3 linked regions of the Schizosaccharomyces pombe genome follow. The gene in region 2 interacts genetically with the main gene of each other region. Each region holds a gene or a part of one and is shown on either strand. Other genes may lie near its edges.

Evidence for each region. Genes that interact genetically often act in the same process or in processes that back each other up.
Region 1: mutations in ucp6 (region 2) and tol1 together harm fitness less than expected from each alone (positive genetic interaction), as found in Schizosaccharomyces pombe (one large-scale study listed by BioGRID).
Region 3: mutations in ucp6 (region 2) and bcp1 together harm fitness less than expected from each alone (positive genetic interaction), as found in Schizosaccharomyces pombe (one large-scale study listed by BioGRID).

Annotation. Positions count from the first base shown.
Region 1 is NC_003421.2:1,547,839-1,551,897, forward strand, and holds tol1 (3'(2'),5'-bisphosphate nucleotidase/inositol-1,4-bisphosphate 1-phosphatase), read left to right. Parts: upstream 1-2,065; 5' UTR 2,066-2,165; coding exon 2,166-3,227; 3' UTR 3,228-3,559; downstream 3,560-4,059. Other genes in the region: meiotic recombination protein Rec7, read right to left, coding at 50-802, 908-1,021, 1,079-1,231; zinc finger C3HC-type containing RNA export factor Rsm1, read left to right, coding at 3,856-4,059. UniProt on the Schizosaccharomyces pombe protein: Phosphatase that converts adenosine 3'-phosphate 5'-phosphosulfate (PAPS) to adenosine 5'-phosphosulfate (APS) and 3'(2')-phosphoadenosine 5'-phosphate (PAP) to AMP. May regulate the flux of sulfur in the sulfur-activation pathway by converting PAPS to APS.
Region 2 is NC_003424.3:2,844,166-2,849,181, forward strand, and holds ucp6 (UBA domain protein Ucp6), read left to right. Parts: upstream 1-1,803; 5' UTR 1,804-2,369; coding exon 2,370-4,208; 3' UTR 4,209-4,459; downstream 4,460-5,016. Other genes in the region: Spo12 family nuclear protein, read right to left, coding at 4,764-5,016.
Region 3 is NC_003423.3:283,103-286,634, forward strand, and holds bcp1 (thioredoxin peroxidase), read right to left. Parts: upstream 1,715-3,532; 5' UTR 1,424-1,714; coding exon 836-1,423; 3' UTR 501-835; downstream 1-500. Other genes in the region: csc3 (WD repeat-containing protein), read left to right, coding at 1-446; SPOM_SPBC1773.03C (aminotransferase), read right to left, coding at 2,937-3,532. UniProt on the Schizosaccharomyces pombe protein: Thiol-specific peroxidase that catalyzes the reduction of hydrogen peroxide and organic hydroperoxides to water and alcohols, respectively.

The DNA of each region.
Region 1 (4,059 bases), on a different chromosome or scaffold from region 2:
TTTTTACTACTTTTTTAAATTTGGGATTAAGTTGAATTGGTCTGTCTTCCTACATCTTGTTCCATACCCGTTCCAAACTTTGACATAATTGGATGAAGCTGTCTTGTTTTAGATAGAATAATACCTTGGAGCGTAATTGCTTTTCCTCTTCAGTAAGTTCTGTTGGTAGGATTTGTGAAGTCGTTGGGGGTGATGGAATCAAATTTGCGTATGCTTGGTTCTCCGGTTGAGCAACCCACGAAGCCTGTGTCTGAGAGTTCAGCGGCGTAGCAGCAATAATGGGGTATTGTGAGTTTGCACCGTAAGAGTAGGCATTACGATTGGGATTAAAAGGTGATGAAGTTATCACCACGTTTTCATCCCAAGTGGGTTGTTGTGACGCAGTAATACTTTCAATTGATGTATCACTTCGAAGGGGCATTTGGGTCATGCCCGCATCCCCGCGGAATCGCTTAAGCGGTGGTGTATTGGAGAAGATTTCAGCATTTGGCATGACATGCTGCAGTGGTGCTGGATTGACATAGTTTGTGCTATTGTTCACAGCAGTTGTTGCTGTTTGGGTCATGGGGATATAACTCGGTTGTAATAAAAGATTTGGCTGTTGCGCCGATGACTTGTTATATGCATTGTTCATCAACGAAAGTTCCTGTGAGTTATTAGATTGACTTTGGGAGTTATTGAATTGCTTCTTCTCAGAGGAAGACTTTGCATCTTTGAACACCAGGCCTAGCTTCTCAAATTCAACTTTGGCTTTCATATAATGCACGTCAGATGGGAATTTCACTTGAAATCTTTTCATCACCTAAATTTATTAACAACAAAATACGCTTCATCAACACTCCATTTTTTTTTTTAAAAAAAGAGGCCTCAATGTGATTTTGAATAAATCTGCTTTTGTTTTACTTACATTATTAGTGAAAGCACGAATATTCATACACGGAGCGCGTGAAAGCAGAGTTAGACATTTTTCCTTCGTTCCCGGTATCAATTGGTGCCAGAGATCTAACAAGTTTATACTTTGCTGTTTGTTTGTTAAAAATATTGAATTTTTCTAGCAATATGGTTTCATGTCGCGTACAATTAATTCTTCGTGTTGACGAATTTGAAGCAATCCAGACGTTAATGAGAGTGTAAAACCTCCATCTGAATAATGTGACCAGTTGATATGGGAGGAATCTGTAGTATACGAATCCTCAGCTACAGAGTACTTAACAATTGGGAAAATGTTCATGTTTGTTTATGTTTGAATATGAGAAGACGCGTTAGACTGAACCTCATTTATCTGATAACGCAGTACGTTCCGTCACGGTGTATTACTTTTGTTTACATTTATGAGTTGACCTGAAAACGACTAGACTTTATGGAATGTAAGTCTTGTTATCACAATATATTACATATGATTGTAATTTGCCATAAGGAAACTATTTCTTCAATCTGTATTGAGGAATATCTGATTGTTCATTAATTTCTCAAGTCTCTTCAAACAACAGTATTTTGAGAGAAAGGAAATTTTATGAGCAGTTTCTTCTTTTACTAATCAATCCCTTTAAAATATTTTTATGCCTTCATTTCATCCTTGGTATCTACACTTATATAAAAATTTTAGGCATATTTGCCTGTTAAAGGGAAACGCAAGATACGGACTTGCACTGCTTTTAAATTATGCGTTTTTTCCATCAGAATGATATTTTTTTTCCTTAATATTATATTTCATCCTTTCTCCATAGGTTGGAAGGGTTGGCGAACTGCTTTGCCAATACCCAGACTTTAGTAGTGTCGTTTGTATAATTAATGAAAACCTAAAATGTGGACATGGAGAAACCTGTTTTAAAATATTAACATGCTCTTTTCACAATAGAAACTACATAATCATTATTGTTTAATAAAAGTTAGCATAACCTGCGATTTTACAAAAAAAAAAGGTCTTTTAGTCAGAAAAAATGAAACTCTTTCTCGTTTCATAACAATTTTTTAGTTCTTTCTTCTATTTGAACAATATTTTTGGTTAAATGTGGAAACGTCAATTAAACACCGTATATGCTGATTTCATATTCTTCGCACTTCCACTGCCCAGGTTTACAAAAATTTCCAAACTCCGTGTTAACAGGAAATTTGGTGCTAAAATCATACCTCCATTAATAAATAACATTAGAAAATTATTTACCATGAGCTTTGATGCCGAAAAACAATTAGCTATTGCTGCTGTGCGCAGAGCTAGCTATTTGACCGAAAAAGTGTTTAATCAACTTATCAAGGAGAAGAGTGCTGCTGGGGCACTTACTAAAGATGATAAATCACCTGTGACTATTGGCGATTTTGGTGCTCAAGCTATCGTAATCTCTATGTTAAAAGATGCATTTCCCAATGATCCAATTGTTGGCGAAGAGGATTCCGACTTTTTGAGAGAAAACACCCAAACCTGCTCTCGTGTTTGGGAATTAGTTCAAGAAACTATCCAACATGCTACTGAATACAAAGAGCTTGGTCAAATCAAGTCAGCTGAAGAAATGATGAGCATTATTGACCAAGGATCATATCACGGTGGTCGCAATGGTCGTATGTGGACTTTGGATCCCATTGATGGAACTAAAGGATTTCTACGTGGTGCCCAGTATGCTATTTGTTTAGCTTTGATTGAGAATGGAAAACCTGTGGTAAGTGCCATTGGATGCCCTAATCTTCCATATGACTTTAATCAGCCCGAGACAAGTCCCAAAGGTATCATAATGTCCGCTGTTCGTAACCATGGTTGCTTCCAGTATTCTCTCCATAACGAAAAATTAGAACCAGTTCAAGTGCACATGCAAGATGTTCAAAACACCAAGGATTCAAAATTTTGCGAAGGAGTAGAGGCTGGTCATTCAATGCAAGGAACTCAAGAAGAAATTGCAAAGTACTTAGGGATTACTCGTGGACCTACCAAGATGGATTCTCAAGCCAAATACGCTAGTCTTGCTCGTGGTGATGGTGACATCTACCTTCGTTTACCAACCAAAATGACATTTGAAGAAAAAATTTGGGATCATGCTGGTGGTTCTCTTCTTGTTGAAGAGGCTGGTGGTGTTGTTTCTGATATGTTTGGCAAACCTTTGGACTTTGGTGTAGGAAGAACTCTTAAGAACAATAACGGTGTTATAGCCGCCTACAAAGGTATTTTTGAAAAGGTAATTGAAGCTACTGCAGCTGTAACATCTAAAGACCCTCACTTTCAAAAGGTCGCCCAATAATCTGTCCGAAATATTCTAGCTTTAGGGCTTTATTTAGATTTTTCAGCATGTTAGCATATGCGTTATCGAGGATTCTACAAAAAATGTAATCTTGAAAATATTTACTTGCCATAAGCTTATGATTAGCTCCTTTTAATTAGATCAAAACAATTAACAACATGTTATATGTCTTTATGGATGACATATTTTATTTACCTTAAATTATGGATTATATAGTAGCAATGTTTAATTGTTCAGGTATAGTTACACAGGTCAGTATGAATAGGTTAATTGTATAGTTATTTTCCATATTACCTTACTATTTTACTTTTAGTATTCTCGTAAATTTACTATACGGTGGTGTTGATCAATTTCAAGGAATTTATGCCTTCAAGTGTGGTTTGGCTAATAACATGGACATGTTTTCTTAAAACGGTAAAACTTTTTAACAATTTTGATGAAACGAATATTGAGCTCATGATCCAAATTGGTATTTTGAGATCCTTCCTAAGTACTTTGACTTGCGCTACCTTGATTCCTGCTGAAAACGTTTGGAAAAGGCATGTAATAAAAGTTTTCTATGATAATATTTGAGACACCACATTTTTCGAAAAGAAATATAATTTTTTAACTCTTAGAACGGGTGATAATGTCATTTCCTACCGATATGGAGACAAATGAAATTTTGGATCAGTTAGACAAAATTGACGAAAGAAATGAAGATATTCTTTTAAAGTCTCTAAAAGCTTCTAAATGCACATATAAGCCCTGGAGCAGAGAAGAGTTTTTGAGACGATTGTTGACTTATAGAAGTCGGTGGGCTTATGTAAACGATCCTCAAATTGGTGAGATA
Region 2 (5,016 bases):
AGATGTAATAAATAATGTTGTAGAAAGAGAAATGTTAACTAATCGTTGCTTACTTAGCTTAATTTGTCGTACCAGCTCCATTCTATGATTTAATATTGCTTGTCATATGTTTGTTGCAAACGGCATATGAATATCCTAAAATCTAATAACTGTTAGCAATAGCAGACTACACTGTACTGCATCACTACATCGCACGTTATAAATTTACCTATTCACTGTAACTAAGAGATGATGTTGATAATGGATTTGCGAGCCGAAAGATAACTAATTACAAATTATAAAAGGTACCCAATTGGTTTCCCTTCTTCCTTTCAGATATTTCAATCATAATTTATAATAGCATATTCCTTTGGATGAACTACAATTGAACTGTTCATACTACCTTACATAACGAAAATAGAAGATCGCAAGAAACTTAACGGTGTTCTAACGGAAAGATAAACTAGGTTACGAAAGTGAACACTTCATAACTTAGTACGAAGTGTAAAATAAGTCGATAAAAAAGCATTGCTCCAGCAGTGACTCGAACACTGGGCCTCTTGCTTACTAGGCAAGCGCTCTACCACTGAGCTACAAGAGCTATTGTTAAGTCGATTCTTTTAGTTTAACTTGTTACAACTAAACGTCCTAAAATGATAAGTTATTAAAGGAAAGATGTGTTAAAACGAACAGTCAAAAATAGTAAAAAGCGGCAAACAGTAGGTAACCAAATTTTTAAAAAACCAATTCTCTGTATTAGCAAAGGAATATATTATCAAAACGTATTACATATTTAGCAAAGCAACCGTTTTATTTTCCTGATGCAACACAAAACAATTTACTAAATTTAATATGACTATACGTTATATTTTTTTGCGTGTAGAAGTTTCAATACCATTATTGCAATCATACATGAATGAAGCGAATACACAATCAAGGAACATAAAAAAGAGTTTTCGCTTACTTTCGATTCGTATCCCAGGCAAAACTGCTTTTGCTAATGGAGTTCATTAAGGTATGATGCCAGTCGCTTCTTTGCACTACGCAAATGTATATATGTAGATCAGACAAATTGTATATCAGTCCTTAAACGAATAAGAAGTAAAAAATCATGTTGAACCGTTTAAGAAACAAAACTTATTGTACTATTTCAACCGTTCTTGAACACGTCTGTTTTAATATATAAAACCATAAAAATCCGTGACCTTTTCATATAATAATACGCTTAACGCAATATAATCTTAACTTCATGAACAAAAAAACATGCTACTCTACATAGAATCTATCTAAACGATCATTCTTTTGATTTCCATAAGTTTTCTTTTTCTCTGAATACACAGTATTAAAAAAATATTATTGTTGATTTAATGTATAGAGTGAAAGAAACCTTTGTAAGCGGAAACATGCGATGATGCTTGCGTTACCATAAGCAATCCCTGTTGTTTATTTTACCATCCTATTGTTTACCGAATACTGCTCGATTCTTGGAAGCATTAGTTGTGGACTTAAAAAAAATTTAAAACGAGCTCTCCCTCACCTTTGTCTAATATCAAAAGGTGACAGCGCCATTTGTTCAATTTCATTTATCAAAAGCGATGTAACTTAATATGTCTTCATGTCCGTAAAACGACAAAAAAATTTGGATACAATAGCATACTTGACTTATATTAAAGAAAACCTTAGTGACCCTTAGAAAACGTTTTGCAAGCAATTTGCTATACATTTTTTATCTTTTTCATAAGCTTTGCGATCAGGTAACAACAGATTGTTACCTTCCATTACCTTCATGACCTATTAGTGCGTGCGGCGTCAAGAATCGATTCCATTACCCAACGTCTTCAACGAATTCTTCCTTTGGAGTGTTTCCAAGTTTTTTTAGCATTATCTTCTGTATAAAGGAGTTCATGCAAGAAAAAGAAAGTAAGGAATTGAGGTTCGCTGCAATTATCGTTAACAAAGAGAGAATTAGTAAACTAGCCTTTTTCGGCTAAACTGGATTATCTTGCTTTTTGAAGGCGTATGCAAATTTGGTTTACTCTTCACATTTCAGATTTTCTCTTCCCTGTGCCTACTCTCATTTGCTGCAAGTGACTTTTATAGCTGGGGTTGGAACAGGAGTCGGTAGTGTCAAATTTATTAGTCTTGAATTCTAACATCGTTGTTGTTGTCTCGTTTTTTTGGCCATATTTAAATCATAGTCCTTGATTAATTTTTTTTTCTCTTTCTTTATCATTGGATCACTGTTTACCATAAACCGATCCATCATTTCCTTCCAAACACCATATATTTTATAGATATATTATCCTTGTTTTATTGTTATTTAGCCTTTAGAAAAATCGTATTCTACGTGTTGGATATTATCCGAACAGTCAAATTTTCGCGTTTTAATTATGGAAGACTTAGATACTAAGATCAAAACGTTAAAAAATATGGGCGTTTCGGAATCCGATGCCAAGGATTCTTTAGAACGCTGTGGTTATGATGTTGAAAGTGCTGCGGAATTCATTTTCAGTGGTCAGTTAGAAAAGAGCCGACTCGTTCCCATTATGTCTAGCACATCTATTGCTTCTTCATTACCAAGCTACCAAGATACATTCTTTCTTCCTTCCCCTCGCAAGCGTAGAAGGTTACCTGGGCGCATTGGAACAGTTCTAAAACCCAGCGCTTTGTTTCCTGCAATTGCTCCCTTCCTTTTTGTTGTTTTTGAGATACCCGTTGCCCTCAACACGTTTGTGCACGCAACTTGTAAAGGTTTACTATTTGCAGAAGACAACGCTTCTTTTCACAGACCGTTTACAGATGTTTCTGCGCATTTATCTTCCTCCTCTCTTTCCAAATACAACCATCATTCAAACCATCGACTGGCTTCCCCCGGATGGTGGTATGGAGAAGACTCTTGCATTTCTCAGTCTTTAGATCCTAGATCTGTTATGCAAGTGCAAACAATTCGTGCCTTTGAGTTTCTCTTCTCCAGTCATCGCCTTTACTTGGATACTGTACATATTACCGCTGCACTATCTCAAGTTTTAGCCGGACTTGGTAATACCAATACATCAATGTCCGATGGTGACTGTATTGCAGCTTTTCTATCTTCATATTTTTCTCCTCCTAATGCTGAATTTGATTCTACATTTTGTAGCACTCTCTCATCTTTGACAAATTCCGAAAAACCCACATACATTTTTAACTTTAAGCCCAATTCAACTCCCGACTTACGTTTGAGTATAGAATCTTGCTTGGATTTATTGCTTCATCCTCCTTCTTCAGCTCAAAAAAATTGGAGTTGGATAAAACATGTTGGAAAAGTCTTTTGCTGTTCACTTCCAGGAAATAATGCATCCGGTACACCTCGATTCTTGCTAACACCAAAGATTGATTTAAGTAAATGTATCATAGAAAATCGTGATGAGATGTTACGAAGATACCAATTAGAGACTGTTTACCGCAAAACTTTATTAGAGTGGGAGGATTTGTATAAGCGTTTGACTGGCGTTACACTTACTGATAAAGACATTGGTGAACTCTTGACTGATGGACAGCAATTTCTTGAAAAAAGAAATCCTGCGTTGTCTAGTCATTTACAGCTGTTAAAAGAGACCTTACAAACCAAAATTAGCACACTTATATCAAATACAAATGCTACTCAGCATAAACTCTCCACTTTATATCGAGGTATGCAAAATAAATGTACGCGACGCCTCCTTGCCGTTATTATCGAACCATCGATAATATACATTTGTCTCAAAAACAGTGCAGTTCAGTCAAATCGAAATGTTTCGCCGTCTGCTAATCATAACGAACAATGGTACTTAGTTCGCTTCACCACAAGCGCAACGATATCCCAGGATAGTCCGCCATGCATTGTAGAACCTGTTACTTTTGAAGAAGTTGATTTAGAGTTTGAGAAACATATATCCTACCATAACCGTCTTTTGATATACGTTGATGATGACTGCGAAGCTTCTACTCGTACTGTCATACCCACTTCTGTCAAAAATTTTATTGCAGAAGACAATGAATATTTTGATGATGAGTTAGCAGGTATAATTCATTCACCGACTGTAAGCACAAGGAGCAGCCGCAGCAGCGATGTTTCCGAATACGACCTTGAGGATCAAGGGGGCTTACAGTTAACTGTGCCCCATATCAATACAGATGTACAATGTCACCGATCCCGAAACAGTGCTTGCGAATTTCCGGAAAGTATGCATGTGGAACATAGCGGTTAAAAGGACGATCATTACATGACAGCATTTTTCGGCTGTTTTGTTCGCAAAAATTTATACCAATGCTTTTATGATTTCCTTTCTCTAATGTAACTCGTTTCCTTGTATTATTCGTTGTCTGTTTGATGGAATCACATTCAAAAATTTTGTCAAAAATAACTAAATATATTAATGTCTATTTAGATGCATGTGTAGAATTATAGTTAATGTTATGCGAAAATAAAATAAAATAAATGAAATGAAGTCAAGTAGTGAATGATAATCTTTGTGATAAAACCAAAATATCGCAAAAGCATAAAGACCAAACAATGTGCCAGATATATATTAACATAAAGGGGTCGGTAAGTAGCAGACATAGAAATTCAAATGTAAGCAGGAAGGTTATTGTAATATTATTAAACCCAAGTAAACCAAAGAAAGAAAAAACAAAACAAATATTTGAGTCAGATAAAAATTGCAAGAAGTGTATGATATTATTGGAGCATGAAACACTTCATCAAGATTTGGTTATAAGAAGAACAGCAAAATACACAATGGCCATCTGGAATCTCTTCGTTTCTATTCTTTTTCTGTCTGGACGCTTTGTAGTGTATTTTGCAAAGACATTACAGGTGGTTTTCTTTTCATGTAGTACTTCTTCTTATGGGCTTGTAATTTCGCAGTACAGGGACTCATTAAACTATCAGTAGGACTAGCAACATTCAATGCATGCTTAGGAAGTTCATGCTTCTGCAACACCTGTTGACGGAGTGTTGCACTTTCCTGATGCAATGGCTGAATTGTGGTTTCAACACTCGACTTAGCGATTGAG
Region 3 (3,532 bases), on a different chromosome or scaffold from region 2:
AAATTCTTGTAAGCCAAATGCGCATTGCTGGAAATTCTGCTATTGGTAATCCGGCTGTTAAAGACAGGATCAACAAGATCGTATGGAAAAATGGTAACCCTGATCGCTTATATTCTCTGCATGAAAATGGCATGGTGCGAGTGTTCGATGTAAAGAGTGAGGAATTGCTTGCAGAGAAATCGATTAGCAAAGTCTCTTTGACTGGTATTGCGTTTGCTGTAAATCGTCCGGAATTCGCGATTAGTGCATCTGATGGAAGAGTCTTTTTCTTGAGGCAGGACGATAAACTTTCAACTCTCGAAAGCTTACCTAGCAGAGAAGCTCAAGAGGAAATTACTGATTTATCAGATATTCTTTGGATCAACTCACCCGTCGATAAGTTGGAGCATTTGATTGTGGGCTGTAAAGAGCGAATTTCTGTTTACGACCGCAAATATTTACCATAAAGCACTAACAAAGATAAACGAATACAGGAAGATTTCCCTCTTTTTATGAAACTTCCAACTTTTCTAATCAAAATGAGTTATTTGTTAAAAAATAATGATTTACGATTTCTAACCGTAATGAACCAAAAATCTACACCGTTGCTGGAGCTATATTTGTATTAGATATACGGCAACTATTTAATCTAATCTCAACGTTACTAAAATAAGAACAACACTAACTTGGACCATCAACTTGTATAAAATTGTGTAGTGATCATATTTGAATGTATCTTCAGGGTTGAAGCACATTGTAGCAAGACATAAAAAAGTGTAATTTCATCATGAATCATATAGCAATAGGCATGTAGACTATCCTCCAAATTTGACAATGAGCGTAGACAATTTGTCAACTAAGGTTCAGAATCAGTGATTACAGCAAAGGCTTTGTCAACACTGACAAGAGGTGATATGTCAATTTCCTTCACTATGCATTTGCCAGTACCTTTCTCAAAGATCCAATGGCTTCTAAACAGCTTTCCACCACCAGGCTTCTCAGCGCCTAACTTTTTAATTAGCTCACCTTTAGGATCCGAAAGCAAATGATAAGGAAAGTTTTGCTTATCCTTGAAAGCTTTTTGAGCTTTGCTAGTATCGAAAGACAACCCTAAAACTTCATAATCAGAGGCCTGTATCTTAGGATAGTTATCACGAAAACCACAACCTTGTTTCGTGCAGCCAGGAGTACTAGCTTTTGGGTAGGCAAAAATTACAAGCCCTTTATTTGCAGTAATATCGCGAAGTCGAATGGAAGTTCCATCTTCGTCAGGCAAAGTGATATCGGGAATTACGTCTCCCACTTGAATAGTTGAATCAACTGATTCATCTTTTGCAGGCTTTTTCAGCATTACTGGAGCAGCTTCAGGAATAATCGTTCCTTTGCTATCCAAGACGTTTGCAATCTTGGCTGCCAATCTGCTAGATCTTCTGGGGGCGTCCATTGACAGGCTTAAAGTGTGCAAGAAAAATGCTAGAGGGGAAGGAGAAAGGTTGATGCAGAGCTGCAGTATATAAATTTATATTCTAAACAACACCTGTAAAACCAAAAACGTTGGTGTCAATGCTGATCAGTATTAAATCGCTTTAACTTGTAAAGGCTAGATAAAATGATCAAAGTAGTGAAACTCTGTTCAGGATGAAGTACTCTGAACTTTTTACTACTCAACTTTCAGAATTTCGGTACCAAAATAAAAACAATTTTACAATAACACCTGAGATTTTCTTTCTGGTGTAGGAAGAAAGTACAGGTAGTGAAGAATCACGACATAAATATTACCAATTTGTTAGCTTCGCTTTGATATTACTTTACAACATTACCAATGTGATCCCGTAAAATCGTATTTAGCGTATTTAGCTGACCTTTCAAACGATCGATAGGGAACCGATCTTCCCCTGCTTATACAATCGGAATAGCTTTGCATCCTACTATGACTAAAGAATGTTTTCTTTCATAAAATTTCTAGTCAAATCATTATTAACATGGTGTCGTTTTTACTAGTATGGCTTTAAAAAATGGTCTTTCGTAAACTGTAACAGCATTTTCTCTGATTGTCCGTCTCGACAGCGTTACAGAAATATAAATAAAATAACAATTAATTTATTAACAAATTTCAAATATCTTTTGTTCGTCAATTGTAGAACGGATCCATCAGCTAGGAACTGATTTGCATGCAATGTCAATGTAGCAATCGTAGTAAAGATTCTAAGGAAGTAAGCCAAGACTATAAAACATGATGTTAGCAAGCGAGGCTATCGTCTTTATTAAACTAACATTGCATTTTTTTTATAAAAAGGCTAAAAACATTGCATCGACCGGGAGTCGAACCCGGAGCTAATGCTTGGAAGGCATTGATGTTACCGCTACACCATCGATGCTTGGATGAAGAGGTAAAATAATAGACATATATTACTTTAAAATTAAACTTGTATCGAAGTATTAGCAACTGGTTCTACATTATGAAAATAACCCAAAAACAATCCAAACTGTTTGGCTAATAATGTGTCTATTTATTATACATTAAATAGTTGAAATTATGGTATACTGCCTACTATGCTTGTAATATACTATAAATGTGTAATGTATAATAAAATGGGCATGTGGTGTAGATGGTTATCACGCTTCCTTAGCATGGAAGAGGTCCCAGATTCGAGTTCTGGCTTGTCCAAGTTTTTTTTTGTTTTTTACGTTTGTTGATTCAAACTATATAGAAACGCGTTTACGCAGAGAACATGTTTTCAAATGATTGCGAGCCATCGTCTACCCTATAGCCGTATGGAATTATCAATTTTATTACAACGAAGGGTCGTAGCGGAGAAAGTATATTAATGCATTGTAAATTCATTTCATATAAAATTAATTATTATACCATGACCAAAGGTCTTCTAACATAAGTATATCCAAATTATCTGAAACATTATAACTGATAAAGAGGAATTTCGTTAACTTGCGTACATTCAAGGAAGGGCCGCAACTGTAGATGTAATGGTTTTGCTAAGAGCCTCCACTAGTTCATCTATTTGCTCGCGAGTGATAATATACGGAGGAGCCAGCAATACGTGGTCTCCTCTGGTGCCATCAATTGTACCCATGCCTGGATAAACGAAAACACCATGCTCGCAACCTATTTTGTTGGCGAGAGAACCAACTTTGTATTCAGGAGGGAAACATTCCTTGGTAGCTTTGTCTTTAACGATCTCGAGTCCCCAAAACAAACCGCGGCCTCGAATATTTCCCACGTTGGGATGAGAGTCAAAAGTCTCATGTAATTTTTCCGAAAGGTATTTACCCATTTCTGCTGCCCTTTCAACAAGATGATCTCGTCTTAAAATAGTTTGCACCGCCAGGGCAGCAGAACAAGCAATTGGGTGGGCTTGATATGTAAAAAAACCAGCCATGGCAGCATCTTTTTGCTCAAACACGTTCATAATACGATGACCAACAAGCGCTCCAGAAATGGGTTGATAACCACCTCCTAAACATTTGGCAATAGATTGAATGTCAGGTGTCACACCCTCTTGCTCCCATGCATGCATTGTTCCCGTACGGCCAA